Linked DNA regions of Medicago truncatula. The protein of the gene in region 1 binds, or shares a complex with, the protein of each later gene. Links are inferred from orthologs where the notes say so. Each region holds a gene or a part of one and is shown on either strand. Other genes may lie near its edges. The genes, in order: acyl carrier protein 1, mitochondrial; NADH dehydrogenase [ubiquinone] 1 beta subcomplex subunit 9.

What was found.
Region 2: the proteins of acyl carrier protein 1, mitochondrial (region 1) and NADH dehydrogenase [ubiquinone] 1 beta subcomplex subunit 9 are in contact, whole or in part, in a cryo-EM structure (PDB 8BEH), measured with the Arabidopsis thaliana proteins. The link is inferred for Medicago truncatula from reciprocal best matches to the Arabidopsis thaliana genes MTACP-1 and CIB22. Residues at the interface, in NP_181990.1 of Arabidopsis thaliana: Asp78, Ser79, Leu80, Asp81, Val83, Glu84, Val86, Met87, Glu90, Glu91, Lys94, Leu95, Glu96, Ile97, Asp99, Lys100, Ala102, Asp103, His118, Met120; in NP_567970.1 of Arabidopsis thaliana: Glu18, Arg21, Ile22, Tyr24, Arg25, Arg26, Leu28, Lys29, Leu32, Arg38, Phe41, Arg49, Phe52, Asn53, Tyr84, Ile85, Val86, Pro87, Trp88, Ala89.

The regions. Positions count from the first base shown.
Region 1 is NC_053048.1:37,507,818-37,515,486, reverse strand, and holds the start of acyl carrier protein 1, mitochondrial, read right to left. Parts: upstream 3,213-7,669; 5' UTR 3,122-3,212; coding exon 2,939-3,121; intron 1-2,938. Other genes in the region: probable purine permease 11, read left to right, coding at 5,914-5,920, 6,572-7,662. UniProt on the Arabidopsis thaliana protein: Carrier of the growing fatty acid chain in fatty acid biosynthesis. May be involved in the synthesis of short and medium chain fatty acids.
Region 2 is NC_053044.1:58,454,972-58,462,519, forward strand, and holds the start of NADH dehydrogenase [ubiquinone] 1 beta subcomplex subunit 9, read left to right. Parts: upstream 1-4,367; 5' UTR 4,368-4,449; coding exon 4,450-4,581; intron 4,582-4,668; coding exon 4,669-4,710; intron 4,711-4,806; coding exon 4,807-4,888; intron 4,889-5,344; coding exon 5,345-5,400; intron 5,401-7,548. UniProt on the Arabidopsis thaliana protein: Accessory subunit of the mitochondrial membrane respiratory chain NADH dehydrogenase (Complex I), that is believed to be not involved in catalysis. Complex I functions in the transfer of electrons from NADH to the respiratory chain.

The DNA.
Region 1 (7,669 bases):
ACAAGGTCTTAGTCTTAAAGCAGAGGATATTAAGTAGCAACACTTCTCTGATACAAGAAAACTCCAACTCTGTCGAATAATATGAACGTTATAGATCATAAAATGTGAAACCAGACAGTCTAAGTCAATTTACTAGCCCCGCACATATTGTATTTGCAGTGGAGGAGGACTCTGTTGTTCTTATTGTGTATAACTGTGAGCTCCTAAATATTGGGCAACTGTGAATTAAGAATGAATACGATAATAGGTATTCTAAACAAATACTAGTAAACACTGTTGGCTCATCAGCTTGCGAAGTGAACTTGAATACATTGTAGAATGTGAAACAAACAATATAAAGTCATGTGTGAAATCCGAAAAACAAAGTGTCTATATAAATATTTCAAAAGACGGAGAATCCTAAAGTAAGGCATCAAGTGAACAAAATAGAGCCTTTTAAATTTACAATTGTCTTAAATCATTTGGTACTGGCAGATGCACACATTGTGCTGCTGCTGCTACCTATTTGTAATTTGGTTTCTGTTAGATTCCAAATAAATGAATCCCCTGGGAGCTATGCCAGTTTCTACATATACTTAAAATATCTAGCTCTGAAGTTTCTGATTATGGAGGAAATCAATCTATCAATAGCTGAGCAAGAGTTGTGGGAGAAAACTGACTGTCTATTTAATTTGAGAAAATGTTATCCGTTCTCATTACATGTTTCACTTTTGATTATAAAAACACAAACATTGTTTTCCCTTTGTCTCCCATTTTCAAATATATATGAAGGAAACAACAGAAACAAAAAATAGTTATTTTCCTGGTTTCCAAGACAAATCCTTAAAAGCAAGAAACAACTGAGGTATTTTTGTAATTAAAAGTGAAACACAGGAAATAAACACAAAAACATTCAATTGTTTTTTCTGCTTCCTACACAAGAAACGAGGTGAAAGTAAAGTTGTTTTTGTAATTAAAATAGAAAACAAGAAGAAATGCAAAACAAAAATGTTCTTTTGAAACCAGGATACCCTAATTATCTATGTTTGGGAATTTAACATATTACATATTCTGGTTTAAACTTGTTAATAACATGATGAAACCTTCTACTATGAACAAATAGTGTATTTATATCAGTGTTGCTTCAACTTAAATAAATGGAATAATGAAAGTCTCAAAGATAAGTTCAAATATTACTTTGGGAACAAAAGCCATATTGAAGATTAAACCCCCGCCCCCTTCACCCCACCCAAAGGAAAAAAAGTAGAAAACTAGGCCATAAAGTGTTGTGTGTATCAGCCTCCTCCTTATGCATAATACAGAAGAGTTTGAAGTCCACAGCTCAAATCCACCATAGAACACCATGGCACCGCCATCTTTCACAAATTGGCCGTGGCGGTTGTCAAAAATTCGCCATCGGTGATATTTCACAACACTGGAATTTTGACAAGATTAATCAAGTGTTTTTTTTTTAACCAGTGTGTGTGTGTCTAGGAAATGGGTTATGATTGCACAATTTTTTTAATGAAAACAACACTGTTTAGGAGTTTTTTTATTCGGAACTTGAAATTTTATTAATGAAAACAACACTTTTTTAAGGAGGAGAGGAGAGAGAGAGTTACTATATAGTACAAGGATAAAAACAAGCCAAGATCAAAGAGGAAAAGGAGAAAAGTGAATCAAAGCAAGGGGAATGTCTTCCAGTCCCTAACTCCTTTGCATGTCAAATCTGGAATGCCTTCATGAAAGTAGAGTTTATCAAATGTAGTCTTATTTTCCAATTTAAATATTTTGCACAGGACTGTATTGAATATAAACATTCAGATGAGGGGTATTCAAAAGATTTTATTCAAACTGTCAGAAATTACGCATTACTAAAATATGAGAGAATCCATTTAAACTTCAATATTTTGAAAAAATAAATATAACTACAGCATTATAAAGTCCAAACATACAAGCAAATTGTATGAATAAAATTATTTTTTTAAAAATGCCATGTAGAAAACCAGTAGGAGTTATTAAGGTAAGACTGCAGACATCTAACCCTTCTCACACTCCACAATGATAATGCCCATTTAGAAAGAAAAAAAAACATTGAAGAAAATGGTTTATTTAGCCAAAGAGCCATGTAGTTTTTCCTACAAAATGCATCTCAGTTGAATAATATATTATTATTATCAACTGAGAACTGCAACGTAGTTTTCTCTTGCACATAATATCTCTCATTAAATCTTCAAACAAATCCCCGCATAACCAAGCAGACACTTCCCACATGGTGAGTAAGGCCTTATTTGAATAAACAACTTAATCAAGTGTTTATCATATAAATGTTTACGTTTATCACAGTGCTAGAAAATAAAGTCAAAATGCTATCATATAAGATATACGTGCTAATGGACATGTTATAGATTGTTTTCATAAGTTCTCTCAAACAGTCTCACATTGGCTTATGTCAGTAGATAAGCTCAAATAACTCAATTCAAACAGGCCTCAAATCAACAAATAAGCTGATCCAAACAGGCCCTAAATCTAAAACTTTCGGAGCAACCCATTCGGAAAAACCCATTTCTAATTTTCCACACAAATTAAGACAACAAACACTTCTAAGATGGTTAATGAGCAAACCTTTCAAATTTGGGCTAAATCAACATAATAACAACTTGGGACACACATTGCACATCTTTTAGCCTTTTAACATTATTACAAACACCACCCAGGTAATTATTAAGGTAAATTTCCAAACTTTAGCAAAAAAACCTTTTGAATAAATCAACATAATAGTGATTTAGGTTACCTATTACACATTTTTCTCAATTCCAAATTTTGGGGGAAACCCATTTGGACAAATCAACAGAATAACAATTATGCATACTCATTTCTCAGTTTTTTTCCCCCTATCTTACAGTAATAAAGACTAAAAATTATGCAAAATGAAGGGGAAAATAGGAAAAGAAGAAACCTTTGAAGGATCAACTTTGGGGAAATCTTTGATGACAGAGAGGACTCGCTCGACGACTTCTTCTTTGGTGATATGATCGTCGTGTGAAGACATGGATCGAATGGAACCATTCCATGGTTGTAATTTTGGAGTGGATTGGATTGGAATACGAACATGGCGGAGTATAGCTGCTCTCAGTGCCATTTCTCTCTCTCTCTCTCTCTCTCTCTCTCTCTCTCTCTCTCTTGATCTCTCTGTTTCTTCTCTTCGTGAACGAGTGAGTGTTAGAGGAACTTGTCACACGCACTATAGAAAAAGGGAACAAAATATTCTAGTTACACCCCATATTCTGCTCATTACCTCCCTCAAATACAAAATAATTAACAATAATTTTTAAAACCATTTTTATATCTTTAATTAAAAACATTTTATTGAGTCCCGTAAGCATAGCTCAATTGGTATGATACTGCATTATTATATGCAAGGCCGGGATTCGAACCTTCATTTTATTGAATATGTTTTTAAGGGACATTTTATTGTATATGTAAGTGACCTTTTTTTTCTATTGATTATTATTGTTTTTTTATTTTTGTTATTTTTTCTTACATAAAATATCTCATTTTAATGTTCGTTTTTGATATGTAAATGTATTGGATTGACCTTGAATATGCTTGAGACTTTCCTACCAATAAATTTCTCCTTGAGATGTTGCACATAAATCCCCTACTATATATATTGCATAGACATACTTGCTTAAGTGCTATAAGATATTTATTTGAGAGTTGAGGTAAATATTAGTAGAGTATCGCCGTTCTCTTTTGTGTTTAAGAGAAAAGTTTCACGTACGAGACATTCTTATATTGAAGACATCAAAGACTCGATCAATTTCAATGATGTTGTTAGGTACAATTTTTTTAAAAAAATTTGTTAGGTGTAATAAATTATTATTTGATTGAAACTCTCATACCAATTGATGTGAACCTACGATGGAGGGTTCAAAGATAAATGACATTTGCAAGATTGAATTCATTTTTTCAAGCAATTTTTTAAAGACCTATCATAGAAACACACATAAAGAACCAAGAAAGAAATTGAAAACTTACAAAAAATAGATTAGACTAGATGACGACATAGATGTATGATCTCTACGAAGATAAGACCAAAATGAGAACCGCCACAAGAGATTTGAAAATCTCCTTGATAAGATCCACAATGGTTTAACCAAAAACCTTGGAGGATATTTTCTACCTCACACACAAGTATGAATTTGTAAATTCTGTTGTCCTCAAAAACTAGTGACCATAAAGGCTATGTTTAAAGAGAATAAATCGTCGACAACTAAAATATAAAAAAGCTACGTTTTAAGAATTTTATTACACTTCCATTAAGAATTCCAATCAGAAACAAACAATATTTGGAATAATTTGTCCATCTATCTCTGTTTGGAGTCTCTTAGCTTTCCTTATAGTAATCACACTCTTTTATTGTCTTTGAGCTTCTTGAATGTCGTCATCAGTTTTGCTGCTTGTATAAAAGAAAAATGTCATGAGTCAAATGATTAGATTTTTGTTATGAATGGAAACAAAAGAAATAATTCCATTATTGAATCAAGTGGTTAGCACGTCAGGGGATAATGACATGACCTTGTGAGTTGAGGTGTTGTGTTTTTGATGACATGTAGTAGGATATGATTGCCTGCTATAGTGGTGTTTGGTTAGGCTAACAAGATGATGTGACACATTAACTTCACTCGACTTCTTCCTTTGCTAGGCGGGTGGAAACGCGGGTAGTTGGATCTGGCTGGGAAATTCCACATTGTAGGTTTTTGGACCTCTTGAACATGATGTCAATGTTTTGAGTTTAACTCTTCCTTACTCAAAAGCTGCTCTAGTTTGATGCCAAGATGATTCATAACTAGGAAGGAAAAAGTGAGACACTTTGTCATAAGAAAACACTCATACACACTATGATTTTACCTTTTCAATGATGAACAAAGTACATTATAAACTCCTATTGATATGAGAAGGAGAGTTAAGAAAATTATATGCAATAAATTAACCGTTAACCGTTAACCGTTAAGAGATTTACATGTACAATAAGCCAATTGTTATTCAAGCAATAAACTAATACATGTCATGAAATAACTTTAGGTGTCATCTCATGCAATAAGACAAGTGTATCACATACAAGATAATAAAGTGCAACTTGAGCTTGAATCATTGTATTTCAACATAAATATACGATTGAATCATTTATTGTGCCTAAATCACACAAAGAGAAAAGTGTGGTTGACCGTTCCTTTAACATTGTATGGAGGTGTATCTCGTCCAATTTAGATTAATTATTAATAAAAAATTATAAAAAACTTATAAATAAAAAACAAGTAAATTTGAAGTGGAATTTGTACCCAAACAAAAATTGAAGTGGTCCCATAAGTATAACTCAGTTGGTAACTATCAGGAATAATTTGTGCAGGGGCGGGGTTTGAACCCTGAAGATGTCACTTCTCCACACATAATGTGCGTGAGTCTAGCCACTAGCTACTTGACCAAAGGAGAAAACAAAATTGAAGTGGAATTGAACCATATTCAACCTTTAATTAATTTTTATTGCTGAAAGTCAATCTTTAATTAACTATTATTACCATAAAAGAAATGAACATTTTTACGGAATAAAACCATATTTAATCTTGAATTTATATCAGCATGTTATTAATTTCCTTGTTGAGAGTTGTTTCCCGAATCGTAGAATAACAGAAGGCACACGTGTTTTACCATTCTGAGCCCGTAAAGTAATGGTCATCAACTGCCATCAATTTGGCTTCATTCACCCCCCGAAGCCGTCACTCACAATTTGACAATTGAATCCTATTCTTTCCTTTTTAACCTTTTTTTCGTCACCAACAGCGACATTCTTCTAACCCTCTCTTCTTCACTATTCTTCTCTAAACCTTTTTTTCACTTCTGAAACTCTTTCAACTTCAAACCCAATCCACCATGACAGGTATATATACCTCTCTCTCTCTTTCTCCTTGTTTGGATGCTTTAATTCATTCATTATTAAGGGAATCGCTTATGTTTATTTCATTAATTCGTGTTTTTCGTTTTAGTTCTGATTATATGTCACGCCAATATTATTCTTCTGCTAGGTTTCACTTTCTTTTACATCAACATAGTTCAATACTTACCCTTTGCAAGGACCAAGTTGAACTCATTGATTTGTTATTGGAGAACTGATCAGGATCAAATTTTGGATTTACTGCATGGAAACTGGGTTAACTCTGTTTTTACCCTTCCATCATATACGTCTAATATGAATGAATGATTCTCTCAGTGAACATTTATATTTATATATATATATATATATAGCTGTTAACTGCTAATTTATGTATGATTTTACTGTTGCTGCTGTACTTTTGCATGAATTTAAGTTCCAATTTCAATTAGCTTTAAGCTCATGAGATCTTATCGGTTAAAGTATCTATAATTGAGATGGATAAACTAAGTTTAACTTACTCAATTCACAAACTTGTTATTCCGAAATTCCAAAATTGGCTCTTTCGACTTTAGTTTTTCTGTCCTGCATTTTACGTTTACTTGATGTTTCTGCGGTTACATTTAAAAACAAGTGACTTAATGTTGCTTTCGATTACAGATAATGAAGAACCGATGATCATAGCCGGAACAATTAATGAACTACCGTTTAACAAATACAAGCGATGGCAATGGTGGTTTCTGGTGGGACTCAGCATAATGTTTCTCATCGTTGGACAATCTGCTGCAGTTATCCTTGGAAGGTTTTACTATGATCAAGGTGGAAATAGTACATGGATGGCTACTTTAGTCCAAACTATTGCCTTCCCAGTCTTGCTCATTCCGTTATTCACAATTCCTTCTTCTTCTTCAGAGGTTTCAGCTTCTTATGTTCCTCCTTCCATCAAACTCATCGCTTTGATATATTTTGTTCTTGGAATCATGATTGCTGCTGACAATATGATGTATTCACAAGGACTTTTGTACCTCTCTGCTTCTACCTATGCACTGATTTGTGCATCTCAATTAGCTTTCAATGCAATTTTCTCATACTTTATCAACTCTCAAAAGTTCACTGCTTTGATTGTAAACTCGACCGTGGTTCTCACTTTATCTTCTTCACTTCTTGCTGTCAATGAAGATTCGGACACACCTTCTGGTATCCCGAAGGGAAAATACGTTGTTGGTTTCCTTTGTACACTTGGAGCTTCTGCACTTTACTCTCTTTTGCTTTCCCTCATGCAATTGACCTTTGAGAAGGTTCTGAAAAAGGAAACATTTTCTGTTGTTTTGGAAATGCAAATCTATACTTCACTTGTTGCCACTTGCGCATCCACAATAGGCCTATTTGCGAGTGGTGAATGGCATAGTTTGCACGAAGAAATGAAGAGTTTTCAGAAAGGAGAAGTTGCTTATTTAATGACATTGGTTTGGACAGCAATAGCATGGCAGGTTTGTTCTGTTGGTGTGGTTGGCTTGATTTTCTTGGTGTCTTCTCTCTACTCTAATGTTATCAGCACTGTGTCTTTGGCTATTACTCCTATTGCGGCTGTTATAGTTTTTCATGATAAGATGAATGGGGTGAAGATAATTTCTATGCTTATGGCTTTATGGGGTTTTGCTTCCTACATCTATCAAAATTATCTCGATGATTTAAAGGCAAGACGCGCACAAGCTGGCACTTCTAAGCCTCACAATGAATCTCCATGTTGAAATTCTT
Region 2 (7,548 bases), on another chromosome or scaffold:
TCAAATTACACGAAGATCATTACAAGCAAAATCAAATTAGTAAAAGCAAAATATTGAGCCAAGTTACCACTAAAAAAAGGCTCTAAATATTTAGCCAAGTCCTTTGCATGCCATTAGTAATTTCATACGTCAGATGTAAAGCTTACTCGAGTAAATAACCAATCGTTACAAAACAAAATAAAATTCATTCAAAACATAACAAATAATTTCAAAAATTTCAAAAAAGAATGATCAAGTTTTCAGGATTTCCTAGACGGAAATCTTTGAATGTATTTTTTGCAATCAAATATGATACATTGTATTTGAAGTTTTCAAGATCGGCAAAACGTTGTATTTAAACCAATTACTACAAATCTGCAAAATTCACTGGCACAAAAAAGACGACGATTTTGAACATGATGAAGATCTTAACAAGACGAAATGATGAAATTCTGGACATGAAAGTCCGATTTGATTCTTTGCACCACCCTAAAAACTTAGAATGTGTTTCCTAGTAGGTTTTCACTGTAGGGTGAACCGACAACTATTGAAGAAAAAAAAATTGGTGTTTTAACTTTCAAACTAGACCACCCGTGCGATCGCACGGGTCATCTCGATTGGAAACAAAACATGCAAATATATTGAAATTAAATATGCTTGCGGTACAAAATATATTGTTTCTAAAAAAAATACATTAAAAAAGGACCTTAAATCGGTAGATTGCATAAAATCTCCTTATAACTACATTTGAAGTGCTATTCATGCCGTTAATATTATCATCAGTCATTAAAATCTTCAACCCATTCCTTGAGGTCACCTTGGATATTGCGACGTAAAGTTGACCTCGTATGTAGTGTACGTTGTGTATACAATTATATTTCAAGGAATTTATGTGTATACAATGCGTTTTTTTTTTTTTTTTGAAAACTATCAATGCAAGCGTCATCCTCATATGTTAGCAGAATTTTTAGACCACTCTTTGAACTAATTTCAAACACTAAGAGAGATGAGCAAAAATAATATAGAACAATCCAACCCTTAAATTATTTTATGAGCCACTTTCTATTCATTAACAAGCACTAAGATTAGCTACGTGGAGTGAAATGACACATTATACACAAAACAAATCTTAAAAAACCTGCTATTATACAAACAAACCCAAACAAACATTATTGATTATTGAAATGGATAGTCTGCATAAATTAATTTTGACATTATCCTATTGAAATGGGTGGTCTGCATAACTATTGTTCTATACACAAAATAAATTAATTTTGACCTAAACCAGTAAACTGAAGAGTTATCTTGCAAAAATTATGGACAAAATAATTAACCTTAGTTGATTCAATCAAATCTGATAGTTGTGGAAAATCATCAGAGAGGGACTGTAATCGGACCAGTAAAAAGAATTAGAAACTTCAGGCAAATCATTAGTTAATTTTTAGTTATTGTAAAAGTTGCACCCTATAACTTTTTATAAATCGCGGCGGCACACCGTGATTTCGATAAAGTAAGTCATCACGGAAACTCAAAATAAGCTTCAATAGTGAATATACACATCTAAGTATAACCTTGTGAAATAAGCCCCTTATATTTGCAGTCAAAGAAAACTACCTTAAAACTCAATTTAAATTACTTGCAATTTGAAATAATTCGAATATGAAAAACATTATACATGTAGAGCACCCTCACGCAGCCAACACAGAGGCACCACACAGCCTGCTGTCCCTCGAGAGCACACCACAAAAAACATAAACCACCTCGACAAAGTCCACCAAAACTATCACTATTTTCTCAAAGGATAATCTTTATCAATTTATGTAAAGTTTATTTATTTATTTGCATTAAAAAGGACACCAGTGAGCTATAAACAACGTCAGGATCCTATAAAACACAAACCAAACACATACGTCTTCCCCTTGATTACGGAAAGCAAACAAAAGAAAAAGGCTAGGCACAAAACAAAAGAGCTGCAGCCCCTAAAACACCAACATCACAACGGTTCCTAGTGACAGAACCAAAAACCTGCTATCTAAAATAGCAGCAGCCTCACGCAGCCAACAAAGATGCACTACACAGCCTGCTGCCCCTCAAGAACACACCACAAAAAACAGAAACCACCTCGACAAAGTATACCAAAAATATCACTATTTTCTCAAAAGACAATCTTCATCAATTTATGTAAAGTTTATTTATTTGCACACTATTTTATCATAACATTGACAATACTTGTTATGCAAATTTACATCTAATGAAACTATATTTCATATTAGTTATTCACACCCATTATCGTGATGATAGTGGCTCATGGCTCATGATGTCAAGATACTCATGGAGTAGGAATAATAGGATACAGATAAACATGAGTGGCAGTTTTTCAATGGAAAATTTCATAGCAAGAACAAACTTTGGATTAAATTCTTTAAAGCTTATCACAACATGTATAGGTAGTTTAATACAAAAAGTTAATGAGAGAGGAGAAAAGCAGCGAATGAGAGAGAAGATTGTTGATGAAAAGAAAAACCTTCCGCGACAGTGCCGATTCACTGAGAACTCCACCTTCTTCAAGCTCCTTTCCTATCAAATCGGAAAAATCAATCAAAACAACACCGGTGATACCAAAACCCAAATCGTGAAATCAAAATCAATCAAAACGTAACGAAACTGAAAACGCATACCGAGGGATCGAAGGTCTTGAAAATTTTATTGCATAGAAGCATTCTCTTTCAATAAAACTTGAAGATGCTTATTGCCTTGGTGAGGTTGACCGGCGATGAAGAGAACACCCAAACTAAGACACGAAGAGCTACGCGAGAAACAATGAGAGAGAGAGATGGAGAATTGAAGAAGAATGTCAGAAAATGAAGAAAAAAATAACGTGGGAGAAGAGAAGAGGCTTTTTTTTTAGAGAGAAAACTTGAGTGAGAGAGAAGAGAAGAGGGACTGAAAATCGCTGACTTTTTCTGATTAGAGAAAAATGGGTGTGAGAGGGGAGTGAGAGAGAGGGAGAAAGAGCAAAATGCAAGGAAATAGGTTTGTTTGGTTCATATGCCTTTGCATTGAGAAGTGGGTAACTGCATGCCTTGGAAAGAAGCGAGCACAATTGCAAGTGGTGGGATATTTGAATTTCAAAATCTGCATTAATTAGGCACATATGCACACATTTCAAAAGGGTACATGATTTGAAATTCAAAAATGCCATTAAATGTGGTTAAATCACAATTTTCCCGCTCAAAGCCAAGGATTAGGGTTTTGCAATTGTTGTGTGCATTGTAGTTTAGGATTAGATAATAAGGATAACTAACTTTCCACCCGTGCTACCGCACGGGTCATATACATTGTAGATGTAGTAGACAAAAACAAATCTCAATGCATATCAAAGAGAATGAAATATGTGGTTCCAAATATATGCAGATGTTTGAATTCGAACCTCAGACACCACACTTATTCACCTTAAAAATATTAATTTTTATTTTTATCAATCGTGTGTTACTTCACTCTTTTGTTAAAATTATATGTCAATGTTATATTATTGGTATGTTACTTCATCTTTTTTTTTTTTTTTGACAGAATGTTACTTCATTCTTTTGTAAAAATTATATGTTAATGTTATATTATGTACCTAAAAATAGCTCATTCTAAACCTCAACATGTAAAATGTTTTATTTAAATAATTTTCCTTTTATCGAATATTTGGCCTTTACCGTAAATGATACGCTTTAACTGTTTGTTGAAATGTTTCTTCCACCTGTTTATATAGATTGCAAAATTCAGGTGCATTTTATGGTAGATATTTAACAAAGAGAGTTCAGTTCTAATTTGGATGAAAAGTGTAATATTAACAAAAAAAATATTGCTATAATCTTTCAAAATCCTTTTATTCCAATAGGGCGATTTGTTTTAGTGAAGAAATAGGGCGATTTGTTTTGAAGAAATGGGAGAAATAAAGCGATGCTGATTTGCTTTGTTCATGAAAATAGGAGATTAGGTGTGAGCATTAGGGTTGTTCATGAAAATAGGAGATTAGGTGTGAGCATTAGGGTTAAAACAGTTAAATTATGCAATAGGGTTTAGGTTAAAATTAGGGCTTACGGGTTAACTTTAATATATACGAAGATAAGAAGATTAGGTGAGAGCATTAGGGTTGTTCATGAAAATAGGAGATTAGGTGTGAGCATTAGGATTAAAACAGTAAAATTATGCAATAGGGTTTAAGTTAAAATTAGGGCTTGCGGGTTAACTTTAATATATAAAGATAAGATGTACTTGGTTGGGATAAGTATAGATGTAGGGTTACAACGTAAAATTTCGAGTAAATAGGGAAGGATTAAAAAGCAATGAATCGGGCCTGGATAAGTAAAAGTAGCCCAAAAGCCCAACGATGATACGACGCCGTGGTTCTCTCTCTGGTTGTTGTAATTGTAATGAAAAGTGAAAAAGGAAAAAAGGGAAGAGATTGAGAAAAGAGAAATGAGCTTAACATCGACGGTAGCTTACGTTGCTCGGCGCGCGGCGCAGAGGGAGAAGGTTCGGATTCTGTATCGCCGTGCTCTTAAAGACACTCTCAACTGGGCTGTACATCGTCACCTCTTCTACGACGACGTATTCCCTTTCCTCCCTTTCTCGTTCTTTCATTTCACCCAATTTCATTCAATTCATAACATTTTCTCTCATTCCTTCCATTTTCAGGCTTCAAACCTCCGCGATAGGTTCGAGCAAAACAAACACGTGGTTCGTTGTTTTCCCAATTTCAGATCATCATCATCGCATCTTGCAATTACACTTTCACTCACCCTAATTTAATTTTGTGATTGTAATAATTTACAGGAAGATCTTGATACGATTGATAGGTTGATAGCGGATGCTGAAGCTAGCTACAATAAGTGGCGCCATCCCGATCCTTATATAGGTAAAACAACAACAAATCATATACTTAGTGTTTGGTATTAATTTGATTTTCATTATCCCTAGTATAGCAGGAATGATAAGTAATGACACATGGTTGCAAATCATCTGAATATTATTTTACTTAGTGCTATAGGAGTTGAGGGGACTGTCATAATAAGATTATATCAAATGTTCACTAGTATATAACTTACAAACAGAGCTATTAGTTTGAAGCATTTCATTTACCTCGGCTACAATCTGCCTTCCTTTGTGGCATAGGCACACTGACTATGTATTGGCCTTTTTTTTTTTAATTTTTTTTTATTTTATTTTTTTATATTTTTCTAGTCTTGAGGGTTGATTTTTCTCCTTTGCTTTACAATCTTAGTAAAATTTTACTCGTTACACCATCTCTTTCCTGCTTTGTTATTTAATCCAGTTCTAATACTGGCTTGTTCTTATTTCTGCTGTATTATAGTTCCATGGGCTCCTGGTGGTTCCAAGTTTACTCGCAACCCAGCTCCACCTCAAGGGGTAAGTCATTATGGTTATATGCTTTCTTTATTTTTTTCCTTTTTATTTGGCCCACTTAGTTCATACTTATATCATATTCATACATAGACATGTATATGTGTGTGTTTGTGTTTGTGGAGTTTAGGACAAGTTCTTTGGATAAGAGAGATATACACAATGTCCTCTGCAAGACGCTAACACCTGCATATGTTACCACGTTTTTCCCTTGCCAAGACTATTGTGATGATATATCTCATCCAATGACCCTATCATGTGAGAGTATCACATAAAATGGTCGAAATATTTGCTTTTCTTGTGTACTTTAAAGTCTCTTTAGAAATGCACCAAACTTTTCTGTGATTGTTTAGTTAAGTGACTAACCTAATTTCCATATAGCCAGGAATAAGTGTGCTCCATTCCCCTTTGAAATTATACATTAAACATGCGTATTAGAAGTTAGAATAATGATCCCCTTAATTTTCTCTCTCTAATGATCCCAATTAGAGGATAATAAATCAATATTATTAATTTTTGAACAAACAATGTTATGTTTGAAACAGTAAAACTAAGGTCTCAAGGTGTCATAATCATCTAACAATGAAAACGAAGAAGGCTATGAAATTGATGAGATTGTAGTTATAAGAAGGGATCTGATAAGGGAGAGACTACCTTGTAAATAAAAAGTGGGTGGGGAAGTTTGCTGGAGGGAAACAGAGAACCAATTTGTTATAGAGGGTTGTTCAGAAGGAGAGAAGGCGTCATGTGTTTCCATTTCAGTTTCAACTTATAGCCAGGGCCCATGGAGTTTACCTATTTGTTCTTACTTTCAATATTTTCTTCTCAATAATACACGGGATTTCACATGACACATCACAATTCAGAAAAATGGTCTTATAAAGATGACACATTAAGTATGCTCAAATTAAAAAATAAAATAAATTGTGGGGACAGTTGGCCTCATTGCACTGAACGTGCATTCAGCTCTAATTTTGTCGAGAGCTTAGGAGAGGGAGAGTTTAGTGTGTAAACCCGACCGGCTTCACAACGAATTGATTCTCTAGTGCATTAGGTCAGTCAGTTGAATGTTCATTCGGCCAAACTAAGCCCCTTGATAGCAATTGTTGCGGGATCACTAAGTCCTTCTCAGACCTGCATGCTGAGGTGTGAGAGGCATTCCAACAGCAACACAAACATGCCGAGTTGTTGACCCATGCCCCTACTACTCCTTGAATAGGAATGGTGAACCAAGTTGATTTAAACCCGTTGAGCAAAAGTGGAATCCTATGCATGCGAGTCATATTGGGAAAGACACAACATATTTAGAGAGAGCTTATCATCAGGCTTTGCATTAAAAAATGCATTACAATCTAGAGGTGTCTGAATGAACCAACCTAGTGTGACCCATCATGCTTTGTATTTTTTATTTTATAAAAAATGATTTTTAAGATTAAAAAAAGGGAGAAAGTGAGGCCATCTGTATCAACCCTGCATAACTCGCTTTGGCCTACTGTTTAATGAGTTGGTTCAAATTCAAAATAACATTGGAAAATGTGAGGCATTAATTCAATCCACTGGTGAATTGGGTTGACTCACGGATTTTGGCTGACATTTAAACAAGCAAAGGAATGGTCTGGAGAGGAATGATGGAAGCCAAACTCAAGGGGTGGATGTTAGTGCTGTTGAATTTGGGTACTTTTACCGTCCTGGGGACCTTGGGGGGAAACCAAAACAGATTGCATCACGAAGTCCAAGAGCCTCAGTCAAGAGGCCTGTATTGTCATGCTCAAGGAAATTCACATGGGTAATAAGCACCACCCTACTGTCATGCAGCAGGTTTTACAAATACCAGGACTTGGCAAGGGAGGTAAACTCCAGCTATTAAAATACCTGATCCCGTAACATTACCAACTAGTCTAGAGGGCCAGCAGTCAACAAATAAACCTATTGATAACTGGCTGCTAATATCTAGTAGGCAGCTAGGAAGAGGAAGACAAGCTTCTGTGATCAGTTTTCACCCTTCTAACTTGAGGAAATTGCAGCTTTTCATGTGGATGGTATTGATGCGTTCCTTGTTATGGTTAAGGGGCCTGGTGAGGGTAGGGATTATATTGTAGATTACAAATGAGAGGAAAGTTTGTTGGCAAGAATGAGAGAACAAATTTGTTATAC